3 linked regions of the Macaca fascicularis genome follow. The protein of the gene in region 2 interacts with the protein of the main gene of each other region in a biochemical or structural test. Links are inferred from orthologs where the notes say so. Each region holds a gene or a part of one and is shown on either strand. Other genes may lie near its edges. The genes, in order: NOLC1, KBTBD8 and TCOF1.

The links.
Region 1: the proteins of KBTBD8 (region 2) and NOLC1 form a complex in vitro, tested with the Homo sapiens proteins (2 studies listed by BioGRID). The link is inferred for Macaca fascicularis from reciprocal best matches to the Homo sapiens genes KBTBD8 and NOLC1.
Region 3: the proteins of KBTBD8 (region 2) and TCOF1 form a complex in vitro, tested with the Homo sapiens proteins (2 studies listed by BioGRID, with this or other methods). The link is inferred for Macaca fascicularis from reciprocal best matches to the Homo sapiens genes KBTBD8 and TCOF1.

The regions. Positions count from the first base shown.
Region 1 is NC_088383.1:111,164,307-111,167,955, reverse strand, and holds part of NOLC1 (nucleolar and coiled-body phosphoprotein 1), read right to left. Parts: intron 3,621-3,649; coding exon 3,455-3,620; intron 2,498-3,454; coding exon 2,385-2,497; intron 2,261-2,384; coding exon 2,125-2,260; intron 1,497-2,124; coding exon 1,368-1,496; intron 1,160-1,367; coding exon 1,049-1,159; intron 942-1,048; coding exon 294-941; intron 1-293. UniProt on the Homo sapiens protein: Nucleolar protein that acts as a regulator of RNA polymerase I by connecting RNA polymerase I with enzymes responsible for ribosomal processing and modification.
Region 2 is NC_088376.1:130,078,607-130,082,255, reverse strand, and holds part of KBTBD8 (kelch repeat and BTB domain-containing protein 8), read right to left. Parts: intron 556-3,649; coding exon 92-555; 3' UTR 1-91. UniProt on the Homo sapiens protein: Substrate-specific adapter of a BCR (BTB-CUL3-RBX1) E3 ubiquitin ligase complex that acts as a regulator of neural crest specification.
Region 3 is NC_088380.1:157,272,115-157,275,763, reverse strand, and holds part of TCOF1 (treacle protein), read right to left. Parts: intron 3,355-3,649; coding exon 3,241-3,354; intron 2,943-3,240; coding exon 2,723-2,942; intron 2,194-2,722; coding exon 2,108-2,193; intron 1,530-2,107; coding exon 1,349-1,529; intron 1-1,348.

The sequences.
Region 1 (3,649 bases), on a different chromosome or scaffold from region 2:
ACATGGTGGTGCATGCTTGTAGTCCCAGCTACTCAGGAGGCTAAGGTGGAAAGATCACCTGAGCCCATGAAGTTAAAGCTGCACAAGCCGTGATCATGCCATTGCACCCCAGCCTGGGTGACAGAGTAAGATTCTATTAAAAAAAAAAAAAGACCAGTTTCCTGTTCTTCCTCCCAGTTTCCACAACTGGAAGCCCAGTGGTGGGCCTCCTCTCACTACCCTACTCTCAAAGAGTATATCCCATCCTGATTTGGGGGGACAAAACCCAGAGGGCATGTTTACTGGGTACAGACCTGATTTGGAAACTGCCACTGCTGCCTTTTTCTTTTCTTCTTCCTCTTCCTTGCTGTTCTTAGCTTCTTTTCCATTCTGGGCAGTCAGTGCAGAGGTGCCATTGGCCTTGGGAGCTTGTGGTCTGGGAAAGCCCTTGCCCTTGGGCTTCTCTTCCTCCTCCTCACTGGAGTCATCAGAGGAAGAACTGCTGCTGCTCTCAGTCTTTCCTTTCTTTGCAGAGGCTGGCTTGGAAGGGGCTGCACCTCCTGCTACCTTCTGTGGCTTCTTCTTAACTGCAGACTTAGCTGTCTTCTCTTCCTCCTCCTCCTCCTCACTGCTGGAGCTGTCTGAATCAGAGCTGCTGTCCCTACTACCCTGAGGAGCCTGCTTGGCAGGCAGAGGCGGAGCTGCTTTGGCAGTCGCCTTGGGCTTAGTGGTGGCCACCGTCTTTTTTTTCTTCTCCTCCTCACTGGAGCTGCTCTCTTCCTCACTGGAGCTGCTGTCAGCATTTCTCATCGGAGGCTTCTGGCCACCGCCCACAGATTGCTTGGGGGTTGCAGCTGGCTTTGCTGCAGGTGACTTGATGGTGACAGTTGGCTTATTTGAAGAATTCTTGGTGGTACCAGCTGGCTTGGAAGGAGCTTCAACATCCTCAGAGCTGTCAGAGTCTAGACACAGAGGGATGGGATCAACAGCTCCCCAATTCAGATTCAGGGGAGCCCTTAGCAGCTGCCTGAGAGCATTTCACTGAACTGAGGGCCTCCATATGCCTTACCTGAGCTGTCTGAAGAACTCTCTGCTGCTTTCTTTGCTGGAGGTGGTTTAGTGGTTGCTTTAGAGACGACTGCCTTAGTTGGGGGTTTCTTCTCTTCTTCAGAACTTGAATCTGAGGAGAACCTGTAGCATTATGCTGGGTCCAGAGTCCCAACCCAACCAGGACAGCAATAAAAAGAATGCAAAGACACACACAGAGCCATAGCTCTGTCTTGCTTTAAGCAAAAAACAATGGAGGGATGGAAGGCTTTCTCTCTCCCTTATTCTTCATCCCCTTCTCCAGACCCACACTGAGGGGAGGCTGCATCCCTCTGACTCACCAGACTCATCACTGCTGTCTTCACTGCTTTCCACAGGCTGCTGCTTCTCCACAGCCTTCTTGGGAGGCTGGGTTCCCAGAGACTTCTTTGGTAGGGGAGCAGAAGGTGGGGGGACTGAACTGTAGGGACCTGTTTAAAAAGGATAGTATGATGGTTTTAAGATATGTCTACAAATTTTTTGATACTACTTTCTTCTAGAAATGAAGCTTAATTCCCCTTGAGTATAGGCCAGAATCATGACTCAGTTCTTTTTTTTTTTTTGAGACGGAGTCCCGCTCTGTCACCCAGGCTGGAGTGCAGTGGCCGGATCTCAGCTCACTGCAAGCTCCGCCTCCCGGGTTTACGCCATTCTCCTGCCTCAGCCTCCCGAGTAGCTGGGACTACAGGCGCCCGCCACCTCGCCCGGCTAGTTTTTTGTATTTTTTAGTAGAGATGGGGTTTCACCTTGTTAGCCAGGATGGTCTCGATCTCCTGACCTTGTGATCCGCCCGTCTCGGCCTCCCAAAGTGCTGGGATTACAGGCGTGAGCCACCGCGCCCGGCCAATGACTCAGTTCTAACAGAACACGGTGTCACTTCTGAGTCTAAGTTATACAAGGCACTGGAGATTCCTCCTTGCTTTCCCAGATCACTAGTACTGGGAGAAGCTAGCTGTCATGTCATGAGGACGCTCAAGCAGCTCTATGGAGAGGTCCATGTGATTACTGCAGCTGGGCCCTGACCACAGTCATACAGCTTGACTCTCCATGTCCAGTCACCTGGTTTATTTTTCAGGGGTTTTTTTTGCTCCTCTTCCTCCTCACTGGAGGAATCCTCACTGCTGGAACTCTTCTGGGTAGGGGTGGCAACTGCTTTCACTGGGGCCTTGGCCACAACTTGCTTTTTAGGTGCAGTCTGCATTGGAAAGAAAACTGATTACCACAGGAAAATGCTGATCCAACCAATCCTGCCAGGGAATGGAGACACACACACACCCCACCCTGGTCACCTCTTCCCTGACCGAAGTTATGGCCCAGACCTTCTTGGGGGTGGCTGCTGCCTTTTCCTCCTCTGAGTCATCACTGCTACTGCTGCTGCTGCTGCTGCTGCTACTGGCTGCTTTACCATTGGCTACTTTAGGTGCTGCTCGAGCTGGAATACCCAAGAAAAAGAAAGAGTAAGGAGTAATAGGGCAAGTCAGGACCATGAAAAACCTCCTTCCTATGAGCAGAGAACTTAGAAGTCCACCAATTCCCCCCCTTTTTTTTTTCTTTTGAGACGGAGTCTGGCTCTGACTCTGTCGCACAGAGCAGTGTGCAGTGGTTCAAGCAACTCTCCTGCCTCAGCCTCCGGAGTAGCTGGGATTACAGGTGCCCACCACCATGCCCAGCTAGTTTTTTTATTTTTGGTAGAAACAAGGTTTTGCCATGTTGGCCAGGCTGGTCTTGAACTCCTGACCTCAAGCAATCCGCCTGCCTCAGCCTCCCAAAGTGCTGGGATTATAGGCGTGAGCCACTGTGCCTGGCCAGGAGTCCACCAATTCTTTCAACTTTAGAGCAGCCATCAAGGAGAATGCCATGGTTTACCACATCAAAGGATGCCTTTCCTATCCCATGGCAGGAATAAAACTAAGAAAAGATGACATAAATAATCTCAATATGCCCTCTAAAATCTTTCACTTCAACCTCCATTCAGAGAAATAACCTAACCCTCAAGTTACAGAAAAAAAGAAAAATTCTCATTTGTCTCATAGAATGACGTACAAGAATAAAAAAGGCAGTGAAAAGCACAACAAATAGATATTTAAGTGGTTACAGTGGAATGGGATGTGTAAGAACATAAAATGTCTATGAAATGTCACAAAAAAATACCAAATGGATATCATTTTAAAAAATATACATTTTTCCTTGCTGCAATAACTGTTTCTCTATTTACTAGCTCCTATGAAATCTTGTTATTAGTAAAACCTTTAAAATTAAAAGACCAGTAATCAATACCTCCAGTTCAACAACCAGTACCATTTCACCCCTGTGCCAAATCAGCAGTTTTAACACAAGTCCCCAGAGCAATCTGGTTCCCAGCCCAGCCTCTTGGGAACAGAAACAGTACCTGGTTTGGGAGGGGCCTTAGCCTGAGCTTTAGCTGCCACAGGTGTTATCTTTGGCTTCTGGTTCTTTGGTGGCTCATCCTCGGAGCTTGAGTCAGAATCAGAATCAGAGCTCTTGGCCTTCTTAGGAGGAGCTTTGGCTGCCTTGGCTTGGGGCTTAACTCCCTTCTGTTAGAAAAGACACAAGGAGAGAAATC
Region 2 (3,649 bases):
AGCTTTCTGAAATACTGTCAGCACTCTTTTGTATCAAAGACAAGTTTCCTAAGAATGAGATGCCAGTGATGCACTAAGGCCTGCTACTCATTTAGAGTACTTTCTGAAGACACTGAGGATACAGTTTAGCAACAGCACATTCAAAATGCCGGCCAAGGTCCCAGAGCCGATCTGGGGTCTCATACACTTTCATCCACTGGTCAGCAATGTCATCATACTGGTAAAGGGAATTTTTTCTGCTGGTTCTGAAGACGTGTTCTTCGACAGTCACTTGAGTAGCTCGAACAAATAAATGGAGTTTGTTCTGGAAAAGTACCAGTTTAAGGTATGGATTTATGGACTGATCACATGGAAAGTCTTTCTTACGAGTCCATTTATTTAGCTCAATATCATAGGCTTCTACAGTAAACATACGTTGATGATTTCCACAGGTTCCAGCTATGTAGTAGATAGAGTCCTTGTATACAGCTGCTAAGCCCTGGATTCTAGGCACAGTCATGGGGGTCAGGAAACCCCAGTAGTCTTTTTGAGGCTCATAGAAGAGGAAAAATTCTCCTAAAAAAAGAAAACAAGAATATGTATATTTTTATGTTTGGTTTTTGGTTATATGTTGTAACTACAACCTCTAAAGATTAAAGGGCATAATTTTCTATATATTTCACTTTCTAAAACATTTTCTTTATAATCTCTGGAGATACATTCATATGGGTTACGAAATACCTTAAAACTTTGTCATTCCATGACACAATATAACCGATAATATTATAATCAACCTGAATTGGGAGGTTTGTATTGGGAAGGTATAAGGAGTTACTTGGGTTTGATCATAGAATTGTTAAGAGCTTGATTCTGGCTGGGCACCATGGCTCATGCCTGTAATCCCAGCACTTTGGGAGGCTCAGACAGGTGAATCACTTGAGGTGAGGAGTTCAGAGACCAGCCTGGCCAACATGATGAAACCCCACCTTCATTAAAAATACAAAAATTAGCCAGGTGCGGTGGCAGGCACCTGTAATTCCAGCTACTCAAGAGGCTAAGGCAGGAGAATCGCTTGAACCTGGGAGGTGAAGGATGCAGTGAGCCAAGATCACGCCACTGCACTCCAGGCTGGGTAACAATGTGAGACTCCAGCTCAAAAAAAAAAAAAAAAAAATTATTCTATTTGCTCTATCCAATTTGTGTGTTTATAGAAAACTCATTTCACTCTAACTCTAAAAAAGCATTATTAGTAGTGTTCAGCCGGTAAGACCAAAATGCATACATACAACATCACCATAAATATGCCATGATAAATGTATATGCTATTTCATTAGAAGACAGCAGATGGAATTATACAGATTTATGCTTATGGGTCACTGATGTGCTTACCTGAATGTTGCTATAATGCAAAGACAAATATTCAGCAGGAGAAAACATGCCTTTAATAAGATAGAAAACACATACATGGTTTGTGATGTTGACTCTGAGTCAGTTTCTATTTTGATTTGACAATAAAAAGGTATGCTGAGTCAGACTGCCAATATGAAAATGTCTGAAAGAATTAAAGTAGTGAAGATTTACAAGAGTTTTGCTAATTATAGCATCTGTATAAAATCTTTGTAATAAAAATCTGAACCCTTTATGAACAGATTAAATGATACTTCAATAGCCACAGATAGTACAACATAAGCTTCTGACTATGCATGTCAGGTTTATTTATGTAAAGAGGCTTTGTTTAGATTAGAAATACCAGATTCTAAATTGAGCTTCCCCTTGAAAACTGTTTTGAACTAGGGTTACTCTTATCTACAGATTCGACTACCTACTTCATAACAGTGATGCTTTGCCTTCAACTGACTTAAAATAGCTTGTTAAGCTCCCAGATTTGCTTGCACATCATCTGCCCTTATTGCCTAACTTGTAACAGGATTCTTGATAAAGAAGGTAGGAAATTTAAACTTTGTAATGTGTGCTACTTCTCTATAAATTTCTTATAGATAAGAAAGTAAAGACGACAAACCAAAGAAGTTGAATTTTAAAATCTAAAGTACTCTTTAATAAGTTAAAGCTAATAATATGCAATTAAGAAACCCTTAGGGCTTCAGAATCCTCTTATGTAAAATATAACCTCAAATTAAATGATGTTAATAATTCCAGCCCTGAAATTCTATTAATTCATTGCTAGTTTGCTTTAGTATTTGCATTAATATACAACCTTTACATTCCAAATAGGAATCTAATTCTACCTCTATCAACTAACAGTTAGGCAGTAAGACCAAAATACACACATACACAGCTTCATCATACTGGATGACATAACCTATCCAACTATACTGGACAGATTATACATCCATTCCTATATTCCATTTTTCTGCAAGACAGCAAACCCAAATCATGCCCGGTGCTTCTATTTAACTAAAATAATGAACCAGAGACTACAACTCCTTCTGAGGAATTAACTTGACACTGAACTTAAACAAATGGGCTCGGACATTACTAGGAAGTTTTTAGTTAAATAAAGGATTAGAGCAAGGAACACAATTTTTAAAAGAAAACAATGGTGGGAGGCCAAGGTGGGTGGATCACTGGAGGTCAGGAGTTCAAGACCAGCCTGGTCAACATAGTGAAACCCCGTCTCTACCAAAAACTCAAAAATTAGCCAGGCATGGTGGCGGGTGCCTGAGACTGAGGTGGGAGAATCATGTGAACCCAGGAGGCGGAAGTTGCAGTCAGCCAAGATCATGCCACTGCACACCAGCCTGGGTGTCAGAGTGAGACCCTGTCTCAAAACAAAACAGAAAGAAATAAATGAAAGAAAAGAAGGGAAGGGGAAGGGGAAAGAAGAAAGAAAGAAAACAATGGGATAAGGGCAGTCATGCATCAATTAATGACAGGGACATATTCTGAGAAATGCATGGTTAAGTGATACTTGTCCTTGTGCAAAGAACTTCATAGAGCATACTTACACAAACCTAGATGGGAGCTTACCACACACCTAGGCTACACTGTAGCCTATTGCTCCTAGGCTACAAAACTGTACAGCATGTGACTGTACTGAGTACTCTAGGCAACTATAACACAATGGGAAGCGTTTTTTGTATCTAAACGTATCTAAACATGGAACAAGTACAGTAAAATTATGCTATCATAATCTTATAGGACCACCATTGTGTATGTGATCCATCACAGACCAAAACATTACATGGCACATGACTGTATATCTTCATAGAAGCTGCTCCTTTTCCTTAAGTAGTAGTGTGAGAAAAACATCAATTGAAGGACACATATGAAGAATAAGGATGTTGCTATTATCTACACTGCATTAAACATTCAAGCAACTAAAATATGTAAGAAACCAAATAAAAGGAAAATACTAGTTATCACAAATCAGAGCCTTGAATCAAATGTCTTATTTACTCTGACTCAGTCACTCTACCTCTACTGTATTTTTGTCAAAGTAGTCCTTAACAGTTAAAAAAACAAACAAACAAAAAACACTACATATATCAGACAGTCCTATTAAAATGGCAAACCAAAAAAAAGTGACATCTCAAAGTTTTCCGGTGAAAACAATTGAAAATGTATTATGAAAGGCAACATAAACAGCAGTGAAGGTGAAACTTAAAGACTATACTTCCAAACTCTTTGTAATTAAGTTTCATAACTTTTG
Region 3 (3,649 bases), on a different chromosome or scaffold from region 2:
GCTGGAGTATGGTGGTACAATCTCGGCTCACTGCAACCTGTACCTCCCAGGTTCAAGCAATTCTCCTGCCTTAGCCTGAGTTGCTGGGAGTACAGGCACCTGCCATCATGCTGGTTAGTTTTTTGTATTTTTAGTAGAGACAAGGTTTCACCACATTGGCCAGGCTGGTCTTGAACTCCTGACGTCAAGTGAGCTGCCTGCTCTGGCCTCCCAAAGTGCTGGGATTACAGGCGCGAGTCACTGCACCCAGCCCACTTTTCTGCTGCTTATCTGCAAATACGCAGAACAGCAAGGCTGGGGAGGCCCTGGAGCTGTCCCAGGTGTGCCCAGCTGGTACATATTTGACCTCAGCTCCAGTAGGGTCAGGGACAGTGGATGCCCCAGAGGTCGCGTGACTGGAATACTCCATTCTGCCCTCCAAACACCATGTGACTATTTTCTACACGTGCCATGCCTTGACACAGATGGGATACATCAACTCCTGCTTTGTATGGTTAAGACACAGAGGCTCAGAGTGGCCAGGGGATTTCCAAGGCTTTACAGTGAGTGGGAACAGCCTGGGGCCAGTCTATTGCCTGGGGTCTCCTGCATGTGCTGAGTGTCCTCCGGACATGACTGTCAGCCTACTGTCTAAGCTATCCTCTGGGGCCCATGGCCCACAACCCACACAGTGAGCCTATTTATGGAGAAGAAAAGTTGATGGGGATGGTTGGAGAGAGCCAACGCTTGCTGCACAAGCCAAAAGATGCGGCTTCCTCTGAGGCAGGGGTTATCCTACCAGGTGCATCAGCACCAACCCGGGCCTGGATACACCCCTACTTCCAGGCTGTCCAGGGCCATGGCAGCCAGACACCTGGGCGTGGGGCCCACCTGTACTTTTTTTTTTTTTGAGATAGGGCCTCACTCTAGCACCCAGGCTGGAGTGTAGTGGCATGATCATGGCTCACTATAGGCTCAACCTCCTGGCCTCAAGTGATTCTCCTGCCTCGGCCTCTCAAGTAGTTGGGACTACAAGCGTGCACCATCACACCAGCTAATTCAAATACATTTTAGAGATGAGATCTCCCTCTGTTGCCCAGGCTGGCCTTGAACTCCTGGGCTCGAGCAATCTGCCCACCTCGGCCTCCCAAAGTGCTGGGATTATAGACGTGAGCCACTGCACCCGGCCCCACCTGCACTTTGATGAGCATGTCCAGATCCAGTGCAGGGCCATAAGGTCTCACTTGGCAAGGCTCTGGGGGCAGACAGGACCACATTGGGAGGACTGTTGCTGCAGGAGAGCAGGAAGGGGCCCACTGCCCTGTCCCTCTGTGTCCTGCTATAATTCCTCCTGCAGACCTTAACTTACCTGTTTTAGGGGACAACATGCCTGCTGCCTGTTGGGGCTTTGCCTCCTGCTTGCCATCTGGGTCATCTTTGGCTGCCAGAGTAGAGGAAACTGAGGGGCTGGAGTATGGCTTGGGAGTGGCTTTTGAGGCCTGGGAATTGGCTGGGGTTAGTCCAGGGGTCACATAACCTGAGAGGAGAGACTGAAGAAGTCCATTGTGAAACAGGCTGCCACCACCCCGACCCCCGCCATAACCCAGCCCGAGTGACGGCCTGCTGCGAGGAAAGCAGCCTGCGGCCTCTAGGATCGCCCTGCCCTGACGGTGCAGAGTGGGCGGACAGCAAGGCACAGAGCAGCACTTCAGCCCTTGGTGTGTGCCTCCTGAACCCTCCTAATACACTTTCTAGACAGGCACATTTAAAAAGGAAATTTCTTATTAATGCGAATGGAAAATTACTAGTTTTTGCCACATACAGATAGTAAGTAACCTTAAAAGAAATTGGCTAAAGAATGTTTTTGTCTGGACATCACCCAGAATCAAGGTCAATCCCTTCTACAGACCCTAAGGGTTAGCTACTCAGGGCTCTACGAGGGGAGGGAGGCAGCCTGGCCGTGGTCTGCTGGCTGGGCCACATGCAGTGCCTTGCAGACAGGACCTTGCCCAAGGCCTCTGAAGAGAGGGGACCCAGACTCCTGACCTGAGTGATGGAGTAGACAGGAGCCTGGCCTGGGGCTCCATCCTAAGGCCCCTGGGCTGCCAGCCCTCTCCCTTGCAGTTACCTGGGATGGCGCCACCACATCATCCTCGCTGGACTCTGCTGCAGTCTCCTCCACCAGGGTCTCCGTCCTGGAGGGGGTGGGACCTACTGGAGAAGCACAGTATCTCCAGTTACTGTTGGTAGCCCCAAGTGGCCCCTTCCAGCCGGGAGGGGCAGAGCCCTTGAGGAAGGCCCTGGTTTCTCTGCAGGTCCCTTACCCCAATCCCCGCCCCACCCCAAATCTTCCTACTGCTTCAACACTCCTTGCACACTCATCGCTAGTCACAGCATGCTAGGCACGACATCTGAATGCCAAAGCCTTATTTCTAACTCCTGAGGCCCCATTTCTAGTTCCCTGCTTTCCACTGTTCCGGAAACATGGCCCTGGAGTTTTGGGGAGCCAATGAAGGGAGTCTGATACCAAAATGCTGAGAGTGGTGAAACAGCAAAGTCAGGTCTCTGAAATCATTTGGATTGACTTTCTCATGAAGTTGTACAGGTGGGGAAACTGAGGCCCAGGCTCAGCCACAGGCACAGAACAAGTCTGAGATATGGAGCTGAGGCCAGAGCTATGGCTCCACCAGGCCACACTCCACCCTCTTCCTGGCCCACCCTTCCTTTTCCCCAGCACCCTCACCCAGCGTGTGGGCCGACTTGGCCACCTGGGGCCCTTCAGCATCTTCCTCGCTCCCTGAAGAGCTGTTGCTGCTGTCCTCACTGTCATCTGAGCTCCCAGGGGCTTTGGTGGCCTGCTGGCCCTCAGGAAGCTTAGGTTTTCTGAGCTTGTTGGTCCCTTTGGCCTGGATGGGGGTGCTCTGGGGACTCGTTGCAGGGAGCGTTCCCACAGCACTGTCAGCCTAATTTGGTGAAAGGAGAAGGAATGGAAGGAAAAATTAGGGCAAGTAAGACCTGGTCCTTCCTGAACACTTCAATAGGACCAGGCACTGTGTTAGACAGGGCACACATGCAGCCTCTTTTGATCCTCCCAACTACAAAAGGTACTGTAATTCCTTCTTACAGATTAGGCCACTGAGGCCCAGGGAGGCAAACCAAGTGCAGAGGTCACAGAACAGGTAAGTGCTGGTGCCAGGACGCAGGGCCACACCTGCACCTTCTATGCTCCGCGGGCTTGCTTCCCCTGCTCCCCAGGCTCACCCCACGTGAACGCTGGGTCCTGGCAACAGGAGGCTGAGCCTCACTGGCTTTCTGGGCGAGGACCTTCAGGGCAGCCTGGGTCAGTGGGAGGGAAGCTGGGTTCTTCTTTGACACCTGCGGGTGGCAAGAGGTAGCCCTGAGACTCACGAGTCCTCGGGATGCCAGCTGTGCCACACCCTGGTCAGATGCCATCTAGCTGGGCTGAGGGCTGGAGTGCGGACTGAGGGGCAGTCACAGGGGCAAAATTGGTGGCAGGCTTCAGGTTATGAGCTAATCACATTGTCCTCAAGGAGCAAGGGACAGTTCCCAGCCCAGGGCAGGGAAGCAGCTTAGGCCCCACCACTCAATCAGCACCTTCACTGGGGACAATCCCCAACCTGGTGGTCCCCCATCTCTACTTCTTACACCC